2 linked regions of the Lepisosteus oculatus genome follow. The protein of the gene in region 1 purifies or fractionates together with the protein of each later gene. This does not show direct contact. Links are inferred from orthologs where the notes say so. Each region holds a gene or a part of one and is shown on either strand. Other genes may lie near its edges.

Region 1 (7,105 bases):
AGGGATATACACAGGTCTTCAGTCTGCACTAACTCAGCCCTTCGCCTTTCAGCCTCACTTCGGCACCTGTACACACAAATGACAGCCAGTCTTTGTATTTACGGCCAGTTGCCAAAATCTCGTCAATAAAGCTAGAGGACACTAAGGGAAGAGTTCGGTCTTTGTAGTTGCTATTGCTCGCAGTCGAAAATAACGCAGCGTTAGATGAAGAGCTGCTCACACACACGGAAGCTCAATTCCACTTGGTCCTAGATCTGCAGATTCCAGGATCCTCCACCACCTAGGAAAATGCCAGTCAGTTTTCTGTGTGTTAAAAGCCTAAGAACAGTTACAAACGACTGGAGGGTACCTGGTACATCCCATCCAGCCTGCTTATTAGTAGCTTATTGATCCAGCCATTTCTTGACTGAATCCAGGATATTACCTTCAACAACATGGTGGTTGTTGTATAAATGTGTAAAGATATGCCTGTTCTCAGTTTTAAATGCATTTCCCTGCAGTTTCCAACTGTTCTCCGGCTGATTTTTCACTGCTCATTCTGAAGAGGACCGCAGGGTTAACTTTGCCAGCAGCTCTGACAGTTTTGAACACTCAGATCTAGTCAGCTCACCATTTACTCTGTTCAAGAGTTCAAAAAAATTCAGCTGGCCTGGAGCTGTTTCCCAGTTCAGGCCTGGGCACAGAGGAGCTCTCAAAAGAGATAATCATTCCCATGCCCTGCCATACTGTTACTAAGTAACACCTGCAATGAACAAAAATGCATCTGAGAAAAAAAAAAACAATCTTCTATTTGTGTGACATTCAAAACACTTCTGTGCCAGGAATTGTTCAAAAGCTCTGTCCATCTTCGAGTTTATTCTACTTTTCTTTCTTGTAAAGAAATGTTTAGAGGCTTGGAAAAAAAGCTTGGGTCTGGTGTGGCTGGCCAGGAGCTGGGCCGGAGAGAGAGTCTGGTGATGGGGATTGCGTAGTGTTCCTGTGTTCACCATGTGAGGTCAAACCACTCATCACCCTGTGCTCAAGCTCCAGACCAGGTGATTTTGGATCAGAGTGTGGTGACTCCTGGCCTGCCATACCTGGGCCGCAGATAATTCAGCAAGTCTGGTTCTGGAAAACACAGAACTTCACAAAGAGAACTGCATGGCAAGAGTCAGCCAGACTATGAAGGAGGATTAAAATGCATGGATCCGATAAATTACCTTCCCAATTAGGATAGAGAAATACCAGCATAACAAACACTTTCAAAACAATAATTCAAGTTCAGATCATTAGAAAATGCACAGGATGCAGTGGGTACAGGAAGTGTCTAAAATAGAAAGCTATTTTATTGTTTTTGCTGTGCTTGGCTACTTTACAAAACAGCGCAAACTTTGTGTACAGTGGGGATTTATCGACTGAGTGTTTATGCAAAGTTTTGTTTTCACTGCGAGGCGGACTCAAGTCTTCTTCCATTACAGAGCTTTCTTTTTTTATTACAGTAAACATTTCCAGTTGTGCAGAACAGCTGTGCTCGGTTTGCGGAGTTTTACCCGGACAAGTTCCTGCTACAAGTATCTTCGCTCGGCTGTATGTTTCAACCCCTCAAGCGTCTCAACAGCGGCTCGGTGTAAGCTAGCAACAAATGCAAGTGGGCACTGGGCCCAGATGCCTCACGGCAGTGAGCAGATGTCAAGACCAAGCAGACTGGAACTTTCCGTCTCCACTCTTCTTATATAATCCTTGCTGTCATCCTTACTGCTTGAAAGGAGCACCCTGCAGTGACTAATATGTCAGACGTACCCTAATGGTAAGTTACAGCACTCTGCGTTACTGCTTTATCTGTAAGCTAAAGTGCCGTTTGATCCCCCAGTAATAATGCTTCTGAAAGATACCGTGCAGTAATGCTCTACTGGCACACTGAAATCCTACCCTGCAGTTCCAAACTCTTTCCTTTCTCTATTGGAAAGGAGTGGCTGCGGATCTGGACGACTCTTTCCTGGACTCTAACAAGGGAAGACTGTAACTTCCCAGCAAAACTGCTTGCGTAGCACTTCTTAAATCAAGCCATGACAAAGAAAGGCAGCTTGCAGAAATAACGTTCACCATTTGCTTACAGGGGCACACAAAACTCTCTGTCTGGTTACAGCGATTCTGTCTTCTCTGTGCGAGATTTGTGGAAGATCTGATAGTGACAGTCTGCCCACCCCGCCCCCTCCCCTGTCCAATTGTTATGTCTTTGTGACAGACAACTACTTTGCCATCTGTCTGCACTAGAAAAGACTTGTTTTGTCACTGCCTGGTTCTGCTCCCTAATATAGTACCAGCCCACATAGACCTCATGAAGCCATGCAAAGGACTGGAGTGCCAGGGGATCTCAGGAAATAACCATGAAATAAAAAGTGAAACCAATAAACTGTTTTTGATTGCTACTATTACATCAATACAGAATGAAGAATGTGTGTAACCTTCATCAATCATTGTGAATAGGAGCTGAAGAACAAAAAGACAGATGACAGGCTAATTTCTGCATTCCTCACAGAACCCAGGAAAATCCTTTCTCTTCAGATCGTGAGAATTACAGATAAAACTTAAATTCCCGACAGAGGTCAGAAAAAAAATGTCTGAAACTTACCATCAGAACTCACTGTGTCATTATTGTCTGGGTAAGCCTGCCCCGTATCTCTGTAGTCAACCCAGTTGATCCCTTCCAAACTGTCATAGTTTGATTGGCTATTATCCTCCACTGGTACCACTGTAAAATGGGGCATTTCGTTCCTCACAGATAACGGTAGCTCGGTCCTGCTAACTCTTAGCAACAGTTCAGTGAGCACTCCCTGCCACAGCAGCTAAACTCCAAAATCTCTCACTGCATTCCAGTACAGTTTGGTCACTTCCTCCAGAGGAAATTACCATATTACCCAACTCCACCCATTACCCGGAGCTTGAAAGTTTGCACTGAATAAGTCTGAATTGACAGGAATCATTACAGCCTTCCTCAGGAGCCCTAGCCTCCTTTATGATCTCTACAAAGAAGCAGAGACAATACAAACTCCCCCCCTGCCCCGCCACGCACAGCCAGCTCTCAAACTAGCGGAACACAGAGTTCTCGCACTCAAGTCTCTAAATGAGTTCTGGGTAATTTCCCTCACAACTTTGTTTCAGGCGGAGAGAGAGAAAAAAGGAAAATAAACTGGGAACTTAAGTGATCTCCTTAATTATATTTTTATTTAAAATATAGTATTGCTTAGCGTCTTGGGCTTCTGGTATTTTCTCCTTTTCCAAACCATTGTTGTATCTGTACCATTTAAAATGTGTGACTCTTTTTAGAAATGTTTTGACTGGGCCGCAGAATATTAAAAATCAGCCTGCTCAACTGGAAGATCAACTGGGGATAGAAAAAAAAGCACTTATACTGAATGTGGAACAAATGTATTTTTTATGGAAAACAAAAATGATCTTATTCCTTCCACCCCCAGCTGAAATGTAAATGTAATTGCGCTTGTAACCGGCATGAGACAGAGGTGACGTAAGTTTCCTTCAAAAACACATTTTCCCACAAAAGTTAGTTGGTCTCTGGATTGCACAAGTGCTTCTGATAGACTTTTTAAACACGTTGTAAACAGTCGCACAATTAATCCACTACACACTTAATTCACACTACTTGTATATACAACCCTTACAAATAATAATCTATGATTATCTTGTGTATTTTTTATTGTTGTTGTCGTTCAGTAAAGCGCTTTTAGAAGCCACGTTGAAAGGCGCTATATAAATAAAGTTTATTATTTTTTATCATCATCTTCCTTGGTCACTCTTCCAGTTTTGAAGCTAGATATAATCAGCACCAACTAAGAAATTGAGGGCGATATATTTTTATTTCTGCACTGCCGGAGACACTTGAATTAAAACTGTAGACTTTTAACTGGCTTTTTCCTAACCGCAAAACGAGGGTGTTGTTTTCGGGATCCAGATGCGTATCCGGACGCCTACCAGACCTCTGAACCCAGCGGCACCTCCGTGTGACGTCACGCCAGCCGCCCCCCCGGACAGACTTCGCTCGCTGAAACCCCGCCTGTGGGTGGGGTTCGGCAGCGGAGGGTGGCTACAGGCAACATAATTCACACCTGAAGAAGGCTGCACAGCCGAAACGTTGTTTTATTTTCCCCTCTTTTCACCATGGAATAAGCCTTTTACTTGTTCCATTAAAACACAACACCGTCTTTGTCGACTGTAGCAGTCCGATTACAACCTCAGTAACCAGCAGTTTCAGTCTCGCACTCGCCTGTACAATACTAAACTCTGTCTTTTCTGCAACGATTGGTGTTAATAGTTGGCATGATCTGCTGTCTGCTGTTCTTCTGTTAGCGCACTCTACCTTACACACATTTCCCTGCAACTGAATAACAATAATTATGAGCAGGGAGAGATCAAAGCAGATGAGCTCTACACTTTCAAGGCCTGTAATCAAAATTCATCTATGGAGCAGCTGAGGTTGAAAAATAACGGCCCTTCGTTCCCCACTGGGTGCGATTATTTAACTTCAGTCTGGAGATCATTCAACAAATGCTAAGAAAATGTGTACAAGGTGGAGAAGCCCTCTTCACGTTTCCCTATTCCTACTGTACTGTACAATACTCACCATCCACAACCCGCTGGCCCACACGGTCGCTGAAGAGGACAGTTCTCAGCACTACAAACCTTGGTGTCCCCTGGTTTGTGGAAGCACACAAAACAATCTTCATTAATGCTAAAGCCTTTTCCGCCTCATTCATTTATGTTTGCATGTCCGCGAAAACGTTAGAGGGTGACTTCAGAGACGCTACTGAGACTGAATTCTGTTTACTTTGACTCAGACGGGGATACTCCTTCATCATAGAAATACATTAGCTTTCTCTCCTTCACGTTTTGAATCGATAAAGGGAAAGGAATGACAATTGCCAACGATTAAATACAAAAGATTTAAGGGACAGAAAATCTTTCTTCTCCGACTAATCAAAAATCGGGTCTTACCAGAGCTCTACAGTGAGCGTGCAATTGTGTAGATGACATATTGGAAATAAACGCGCTCTAATTCATAAGACTGGAGAATTTTCATTAATGTTTAATTTGACTAAACAAGGGATTCAGGGCGGATCCAAGTGAGTGTCTGTGGTTGAACAGGTGTGTGATAAGCCTCTCGCCCTCTTTTTAAACACGCCTCCTGCCGGAGCTCTGCAACACACGAAAGATTGCTTTTGAGACACTACGCACTGTTTAATCCGATGCAAACTTACACTTAATTTAAAGGAATATAGCGTGTGGTACGAGTGCAATTATACTGGTGACGATAGACATGTCCCCGGTAAGATAGTGAATTTTACCTCCTCTCCAGAGCGGGGGCATTTTGTGTCCAGCTGAGCCTTGTGTGTCAGCTGACGATTTGAGTGGGTAATCTGCCCACCCTCACTGAGTCATTACCGAGAACCCGGCAGCTGTACAAAGACCCGCTTTCCAGGAAGTCCACAATTGCCGCTATGCCTTTTTACTCATGGAAGGAGACTTCATAACTCTGGTGTGGAACATTTTCGCTGTCTACACTTTTTCCCCTTTCTTTCCTGAGTATGTGGGCTAGCATCACAGAAGACGGTAAAATAACAGTGACACAACACTGCAAAGGCAGAATACGGTACGACCCCTGTAACAGCCCCTTGCAATGCAAAGCACCATGCATTCCTAAGAAGCGCTCTGATTTCACAAGGTTATCACTGCTATCTGTTTCCAGACTGGTGCTTCATTAAGCAGACCTGCCCTATCACATGGGTCTAGAGGAAGACTGCTTTAAGGAGAAGGACAAAACTTAATCTCCTACTGACAGTTTGATAAGATAATCCTTCAACAATTTGCCCAAGAGGGTTTATTGTTTCCTCTTGCTGATATTATGTTGTTCATTAAAGGAAAATGTTAATGTCAAGAAGTGATAAAGGAGGCTTGGGGCTATATTAACAATTTGTAGGCATGCAGTGACCAGCGTATCTGTCAGGGACTGGTGTGTGTTTTTTTCCTTTTGTGTGTCTGTTTTAATCACGGTCTCTAAGTGTTCCCAGCCTAAACAGTAGTGCAGTTAACAATCGACAAAGATTGAGCCATGACATCCTGTTGGCCTGTTTGCCTGGGCACCTGTTAATTACCACACAGTCAGTGGTGACAGCAGACCGTGTGAGGACACTGACTGGGCTGGACTGTCCCTGGGACAAGGGGACAGAGCACAGGAGACAGAAGGAAGTGAGAAAGCACCGTGACACCTGGTCAGAATCATACCAGACATCGGTTCGCTAATGTCTTATGAGTTGCATGTAAAGTAGTTCAGGGCGACACAAAGAGCCTGTTTTGGAGAGAGGAGTCCTGGCAACTTTAATAGTGCCGTGTGGTTCAGTTGGCTACAGTCCCTTCATGTGGAACTACAGTGAAAATCGAAAATAGAAAGTGAAGAACATGGTTTGAAATACATTTTAATGATAATAAAGATCTTTTAAAAAATACAGATGTAGTAAAGCCTACTGACAGAAAAGGGAACATCATATATATATATTCCTTTGTCTGTTACTGTGGATGACGACAACAACAACAACAACAACAACAACAACAACAACAACAACAACAACAACAACAACAACAACAACAATAATAACTCCACTCAAAGAGCTTTACAGGTAATGGGGATCCCCTCCACCACCACCAGTGTGCAGCCCCACCTGGATGATGCAATGGCAGCCAGAGTGTGCCAGTACGCTCACCACACATCAGCTCTCAGTGGGGAGGAGAGCAGAGTGAGGAAGTCAGTTCAGAGAGGGGGATTATTAAAAGGCCATGATTGGTAAAGGCTGGGCGGAAATTTGGTCAGGACTCTTGGGTTACACCCTTACTCTTTTTGAGAAACGCCCAGGAATTTTTAACAACCACAGACAGTCAGGACCTTAGTTTACGTCTTATCTGAAAGACGGCGCCTTTTTACAGTATAGTGTCCCCATCACTATACAAGACTAGTCTATACAATCTCCTTATTACACATCTTATTACATTAAAACGTGTAATAAAGAATGAGAGAGGAGAGTTAGTGAGCTGCGGCCTGGATTGACAAGGTTGTCAT
Region 2 (7,224 bases), on another chromosome or scaffold:
ATCAAGAAGAATGAACTTTTCCTAGTTTTTTTTTAATTTCCTTGAGAAATTTTTTGAAATACACTCTTTTGCAGCACACAAAATATCAGCAACAGTATGGTGCAGTGACCCAGTGACACTGAGATATATATCCTGTTAAAATACTTGAATATTATTAGTACTCTGTATTTTTGTTTCTGAGACAGCCTAAGTGTTTATGTGTAAAATACTGGCTCACCAGTCACAGGCAGCAGAGGCTTGTTTTCCTCTTGTGTGTCTGTGATTTAAATGAAGTCCAATATCGCCCCCAGCTGCTGTAGGTTCAATTTAAGCATGATAGTGCAAGCAAAAATTGTGGGACTTGCATCAAAACTTAAAACATCAGATTTGAAATGTCGCAGAAAGGAAACGCTTCTTACGTATTTCTTAAGTAATAACAATAGGTCATTTAAAAAGAGAGAAATTAGAATTTAATTCTGAGTAAGCATACATTTAATGAACATTTTAAGAATTTCTTGCCAAGGAGATTTCAGCAGAAACAGACACAACTATGATACGTCACCACTTCTGTTGAACAGAAATTGCCCCAGTGTTGTGTAGAAGTTGTCACCTCTTCCTCTCTCCGTTCCCAGCTTGGTTGCCAGCTCCAGCCATATTTGGAGTGCTGATTGATTCCTCCTGCATCAGGTGGAAAGAGATATGTGCAAACAAGGCTGGAGCTTGCAGTTACTATGACAACAACCTCCTTAGGAACAGGTAGGAACATTCTACTTGATCTGTTATATCTCTTTACCCTTTAAGTATCTGCAGGTTTTGGGAAAGGGGGTTATGTTAACCCCGTTACTGAGTTTGTTAACTTCTGCTGTTGATCAAAAGATGTTTGTTTGGGAACAAAGGGTTTTTGTCACATGACATCACACAGCAACATACTGTATTCTTCCTTAGTTCTTTAGAATGTAAATTCTCTTTGTTTGACACATCAGGAAAGAAAGGCCTCTTACAGCATCTCCCACACAATTGCTAATTATGGTGTTTGATGAGATATGCTTCAAATGTTCTAATCCAATCACTTTGTTCTGCAGATACTTGGGCATACAAGTTGGATTTAAAGCCATGGGGATTGTTTTGCTAGCTCTGGTTGGGTGGAAAGTGCATCGAACCAATGCTTACAGCTTTCAGAAGAGACCCGAAGGGCCTGTTTGAAATCTGTGCTCCTGTTTCCGCAGTACATACGGAAAAACTAAATGTGAAATCGGTTTGCATGATTTCATCTTTCATTTCAGTTTGTTGAAAGTGACATTGTATTTCCGGGCCTTTAAAATGGTCATTCTGCTGAAGAAGGAAGAAAGTTAAACACTCCAGCACAAGAGCTCTTGACATCGCCAAGCTTGGAATACCTCATATTACCCACCCTCTGTTGGATTTTACTCATTTGCTAAGAAAGCCATTCCCTTTTCAGGGAATAGTTTGGACATCATATGATTATTTTTCATAATTAATAAATGGTTGGTAGTGACAGCAAGTGCTGATAAATGTTACAGATTCAAAGCTCTGCTATTTCAACTGTTATTTATTAGCTTTTCTGGGAGGCGTGAAAGAGATAATCTTTACATTTGATCCTTTCTTCTTTTACTCTAAACTTCTTGATACAATCACTTTTTTTGTGTTTTGGGGAATCTTCCCTCAAGGTAAAATCGCACTGACATCAGGAATGAGAAATTAATTGATTGCTAATAAGCCATTTGGCTACATAGGTAATAAAAATTAAGTATGAAGTGAATATGAATAAAGCAGAAGCATTTTAGACTGTGGGCTCTATCGTAATGAGCTTAACATACCCTTATTATATTTTTGTTAATTGCCTGTTATATTGTGTATTGTATATAACTAAGTCTACCATATTTTAATTTTGTTAACTCTAGACGAACATTGAACAAATAAACTGATAAAATATATCTTTTTTTTTATGACAGCACCACTATATACAAAACATTACCACCCTACTGTCAATGACGAATCAGATTGATTAACAGTTCCCATTTTCAAAGGGAGTGTAATGTGAATTAATTGAAACCAAAAATACAGGGGCTGAATTTTTTAAAGAAGGGTGAAGTACAAGCTGTATGTGCTGTATGTAATGTAACAAGTATCTAGTTTGGTTTTATAGTTGTATATTTTAATTTTATTAATGTATCATCATTGGATTCTTCACTTGAAAAACTGTTTTTTTGTCAAAAATGTAATATTTCATAAGGTTTGAGTTTTAAAAAAGTATAGCTCTGACTGTTACTAGATGAAACACTATGCTGGCTTTAACACCATGAGAAGTATTTGCTCCTTCTTTAATAAAGACATTTTAAAAATAGCTACACAAGAGTTGAGATTTTTCTCCAGACAGCTAGATTTGTAAAATGTCACATTGCCACAATATCTGTTTTCCTCTAAATAAAAAGTAGACCTCCCTTTTTTCCTGGTGCAGAGTAAAGTTTAATGTGGTTGAAATTAAATTAATTGTACTATATTTGTTTTAAGGAGTGTGTTATTTTTAGCCTAATAAAGAAGCAATGTTTTGATATCAAACATCTCACACTTGGAAAATGTTTATAAGACTACAGACATTTTTGAAATTCTCCTGCTTACTCCTAGTACAAGAGATTAATTTACGTTTACACATCATAATTTTTGTATTTAGCATCAAACTACAGTTTACATAAGATCACAGCTGTGTGAATAAAGTCAGAAGCACAAAGATTTTATCTAGAAGCTGTATATGGTTTAAATTAATGTTTAAACTAATGTACAACATTAAAAATATACAGTATGTCTATAGCAATTTGATATCATGCCATTTTGATATATTTTGTTAGAAAAGACATAATAAATATAAAAATGCTCTCTTGTGTCTCACTGGATTTTTCTTTGAAAGCATGATATATTATCAATAAGAACACGAATCAGAAGAAGCTATTTCATCCATTATATTCATGTGTGAACCTACTGAAATTGTCCAAAAACTTTGTCATACCACTTCCACAAAAGTTCCATTGAAACACATTTATGGTTGTTTCGGAATTTTAGGGGACAAGTGAGGTATACAGATATGTACAGGAGGGCGAATGGTTAACTGGCGTACGAGCAGTTGTGAAGGCATGTGATTACATCACTAATAGACAGCGCCACCTAGTGGCAGACCAGAGGTAGTCCTCCACCTTACAGATTTCGGTTTGATCACATTTTCAGCGTCAGGGATAGACAACATTGGTCGGGGGGCAAACAGTCTCAGAGCTGGCTTTAAAATCACTTATGCCTAAACGCAAAAACAAACCTTTCTGCTTTGAGTGTGGTTTTATGTAGCCTGCTTCATTCCGTCATAGAGCATGCAGTACGTATGAAACCGTAGTTGTTCTAAAAGATGTAAACAGGCACATTCGAAGCGGAGCGCAGCAGAAATCATAGTTTCTGTTAGGGTCTGGATAGGTGGTAGGAATCAGGAGCTGAATTACTGTAGGGGTTGATTTGTCACAAACACCTATATAACTGATATTTATTTTCTAAAAATGGTTATAAAAGATTATAGGGTTACACCTTTGCTCTACTGAAGTACATAGTCCACATTTGGAGAAAAGGGTACCTCATAAATGCACAATTACGACCAAACCTTTGCTATCACCATGTAATTGGTAATACTGCTAGGGTTCTGAAAATATTAACCAAAGTAGGAGTTACATCGAAGCACATAGTCTGTGATCTTTAAACAAAAGAGAATGCAACTTTTCCATTAGTTAAAGACGATCTTGGTTCTCTTGGTTTGTTTATGATCAGTCTATGGTTAGTTTTGCCATTAAAAAGTGATTTTTCCATCTGGCAGTGAAACGTTTCTCATTTAGGCAGGTTATAGCTGTAGTGTAACAGAAGGATTATGGTTTACAGTATTTTTAAAACCCTTTTTTTTTGTTGTTGTTTGAAATCACATTTAACTGCAGTGAGATACGCCCTATCAACAAACTAAGCAGTGAGCACTGCCAGTCGTGAGTGGAATACAAGGAATAGAGCACGACAGGCATTTTGTTGTGTTTTGCTCAACGAAATTTAATTTTTGTTTCAAGTTAGTGTACTCGATTTCTGGTTATTGTAAAAACTAAAAGCAGGAAGACGTTACTTTTGCTAATATGTGATCGGGTATGTTTCTGCACTGCCTGAACATCACTTGCATGACGTCATATAGGAGGGGGGGGGGAGAGCAGACACAGAGAGGAGAGGCCGCGCAGGCGCACAGGCTGCTGAAACTGACAGGCAAGGCAGTGCAGCATTCTCATCGTTCAGCGGATTTAAGCGTATCTTTACCCATCGAGCATCCACTGCAAGTGTACCTGAAGAGGTAGATCGCATATCAATCATCCTTTCCAGTAAAAAATCAGCCCAAACATGTCCGTGGGTGGCGACTTTGGGAACCCTTTAAGAAAATTCAAACTCGTTTTTCTGGGGGAGCAAAGCGGTGAGTCCTCTTCTGTTTTCTTCTCCTAGCTGCCCAAGTGCTAAAATAATCTGCATGCACTTGCCGAATTGGTGAAATCACGAATTGTACAAAATTGAGAAAAATACCTCTAAAATTCCTATAATAAGACTAAAAAAAAGTTACACAAAAAATCGGTAAATAAGGAAATATCCTCTCGATATACTGTGTTTTGCAAGTTTTTTGTACTCTTATTACTGTAAGGAGCAAAGCAATTAAATCATACCGAAATCCCTAAAATCCCAAACTGAGTAAATTAAATCTTTATTTAAATAAATATTAAGTGTAAAGCATGTTTTTTTTTTAATATTGGTGTTGATCACAAAATCATCATTATCATATCTTTTAAAACTATACTTTTTAAAATTTATTGTTGTGAGATGGTCTTTTTCACTTAATATTTTGGTTCGGTTTGTTATGCAATAGTAATTTGTTCCGATATGAGTTGCTGTATTAAGATTTCATCTAATTTTAACGTTATGAATTGTTAGCGAAATGTATTGCTTTAAAATTAAATAGAACACTATATCATATAATGTCCCTTTGATTTTGATTGCTTAATAGTTTTTTTATTTTTTTACTCAGCGAGCAGCAGTTGATTTTTGAATAAATGAAAAATAATGCTGTATGCATTGAGACACACCCAGTTTGCTTCTGTCTGTGGAACAACTTGCTATCAGGCGTAAAGCTACAGAGTCTCTTCTTCATCTGGTGATAACGTCAGCGCATAGACGATTTTTGGTGTTTGTATTCCATTTTCTGTATTCATTAATTTATGTATGTATGTAACACACACATGTATATAACTATATTGTATGTATGTATGAGAAGACTGGGTATATCATGGAATACTACTGGTAACTGTTCCATTATCTAAGTAGAGTTCGGTTTTGAGCAAGCAGATTTCTAAAAGGCATAGCTCTTGTATTTTCCAAGAGAGTGTTAATTCCGATCTTGTTGCAAGCAGATTTTAATGTACACAGCACAGGTCAAATATTATAAACAACAAAACATGCAAAGCTGGACTGAGAGCATACTGATCGTTCTTGTATGTTAACTGGTCTCTTTTCTTGAATGGAACAAACATTACTATCTGACAAAACTTTGAAGAAAAGACATTGAAAAGCGTCATCTCCTAAATATAACCGCAACTCAAATAATTCTAATTTTTTTGAAAGAAAAAACTTGATTTAAAAGTCAGTCCCATAATCTTGCAGGGAATTTATTTTGGCTACAGAAATCCTTGCAATACTTGCAAGTGATGTTTTACATTTTCCTCAGTTCATTTACTGTACTCACTGGTTGATTGTGGTTCAGTTTCCGTTACATTTGCACCTGAAACATTCTAGGTAAAATATTTCAGGTATCATGACCCCTAAAAATCTGTATTTTGTTATTATAAAGCGGCTTATTCATTGCAACCCAGAAATCTATTGGTATGACAGATGTCATTCTCGCCCTGTATGTCCTGTAGTGGTCACAAAAGCAGCGTTGAGGGATGTATTTGGAATGGCACATCACATAGAAAGTCACACAATAACAATTGATCCTGGACTGAGGGCAGCAGGTCTGATTCCTTAAATTTAGAGGCGCATAGAGTAGGAAATCATTCGTCACAGTCTATAACCAATAGTATTGTTATTCTTTGCATTTCTACTTTGTGCTGAAGCACACAATATGTTGCTGCTGAAATGTTATTCAGACAGAAACTAGCTTGTCTTGTCCAAGGTCATTGGCTTATGCAGTGTGGGTCACTGTCGCATGTCTGTTATGTGTGGCAACATGTTGCACGGATAGGCTCCATCCATCATGATCCACTTTCCTGGAGATTGTTTTCTGCCGACATTGCCATCCTACAAACTCCCAAGAGACTCTCATGATGTATGGGTCAGTATGGCCTCCACAGACTTCTTTCTACTCTAAAAAATGTATTGACGGACAGTAAGGTAGATTACATAAGTCTGGTAATTCTTGTAATGTCTCACCTACCCACTTAAATATGCATATATTACAGAATAGAATTGTCCTGTTTTTATTTACTGAGATTTTATATATATGTACAGTATACGACTAAGAGATCCTCTTTCAAAGCAAGGGCAATTCATTGTCTCCAATCATCTGATAGCATCTGATCCTTACTGGCTCTTTTGCTGCTCAGCTAATGAAATAAAATAGTACTTTCTGTGAGGGTATGATTGGTTTCCTTTTAAGATTCAGTATCTGCACTGTAGGTCTGCAATCTTGCACTTTTCTAAGAGTAACAGAACATTTCTTGGGTAGAAATTGTTCTATTTTATTAATATTTTGGCTTAACATCCAGAAATTAGAGGTTTATACAGTTTTTATTACTTTGTTAAAGGAGCTGTTTTTAAGCTTTTTTTAATTCCAAGATATTGGAATTATATTATATATGTTTGTTGTAACTCTCTATTATTTTCTATATTAAATTTATCCTGGCAGTGCTTTTATTAACCTGATTATTAACAAATCTATATGCAAAAGTTCGAAATATATTCTGGAAATATAAGTTGACTAACATAGGGAAACATCTATAAAGAAATTAATTGAATTAAGATTGAAACCTTAATTATGTCTGGCTCTGTAGGTTTACTACTTTGCTTTTAAGATTGAGCACAGTTCTATACAAAACAGTACAGCTTTTGTCTCTTGTGGTTTACAGTAAAATGCTTTTGAAGAAGCTTTAGATGCTGTCCATGGTGCTGATTTCCCTG

The links. The genes of interacting proteins can lie anywhere in the genome.
Region 2: the proteins of slc12a4 (region 1) and ras-related protein Rab-6B purify together in Homo sapiens (co-immunoprecipitation; 3 studies listed by BioGRID and IntAct, with this or other methods). This does not show direct contact. The link is inferred for Lepisosteus oculatus from reciprocal best matches to the Homo sapiens genes SLC12A4 and RAB6B.

The regions. Positions count from the first base shown.
Region 1 is NC_090715.1:3,583,137-3,590,241, reverse strand, and holds the start of slc12a4 (solute carrier family 12 member 4), read right to left. Parts: upstream 3,020-7,105; 5' UTR 2,748-3,019; coding exon 2,612-2,747; exon of another isoform or gene 1,479-2,611; intron 1-1,478. UniProt on the Homo sapiens protein: Mediates electroneutral potassium-chloride cotransport when activated by cell swelling. May contribute to cell volume homeostasis in single cells. May be involved in the regulation of basolateral Cl(-) exit in NaCl absorbing epithelia.
Region 2 is NC_090708.1:10,335,287-10,342,510, reverse strand, and holds the start of ras-related protein Rab-6B, read left to right. Parts: upstream 1-4,223; 5' UTR 4,224-4,404; coding exon 4,405-4,474; intron 4,475-7,224. Other genes in the region: slco2a1 (solute carrier organic anion transporter family member 2A1), read left to right, coding at 612-735, 1,062-1,182. UniProt on the Homo sapiens protein: The small GTPases Rab are key regulators of intracellular membrane trafficking, from the formation of transport vesicles to their fusion with membranes. Rabs cycle between active GTP-bound and inactive GDP-bound states.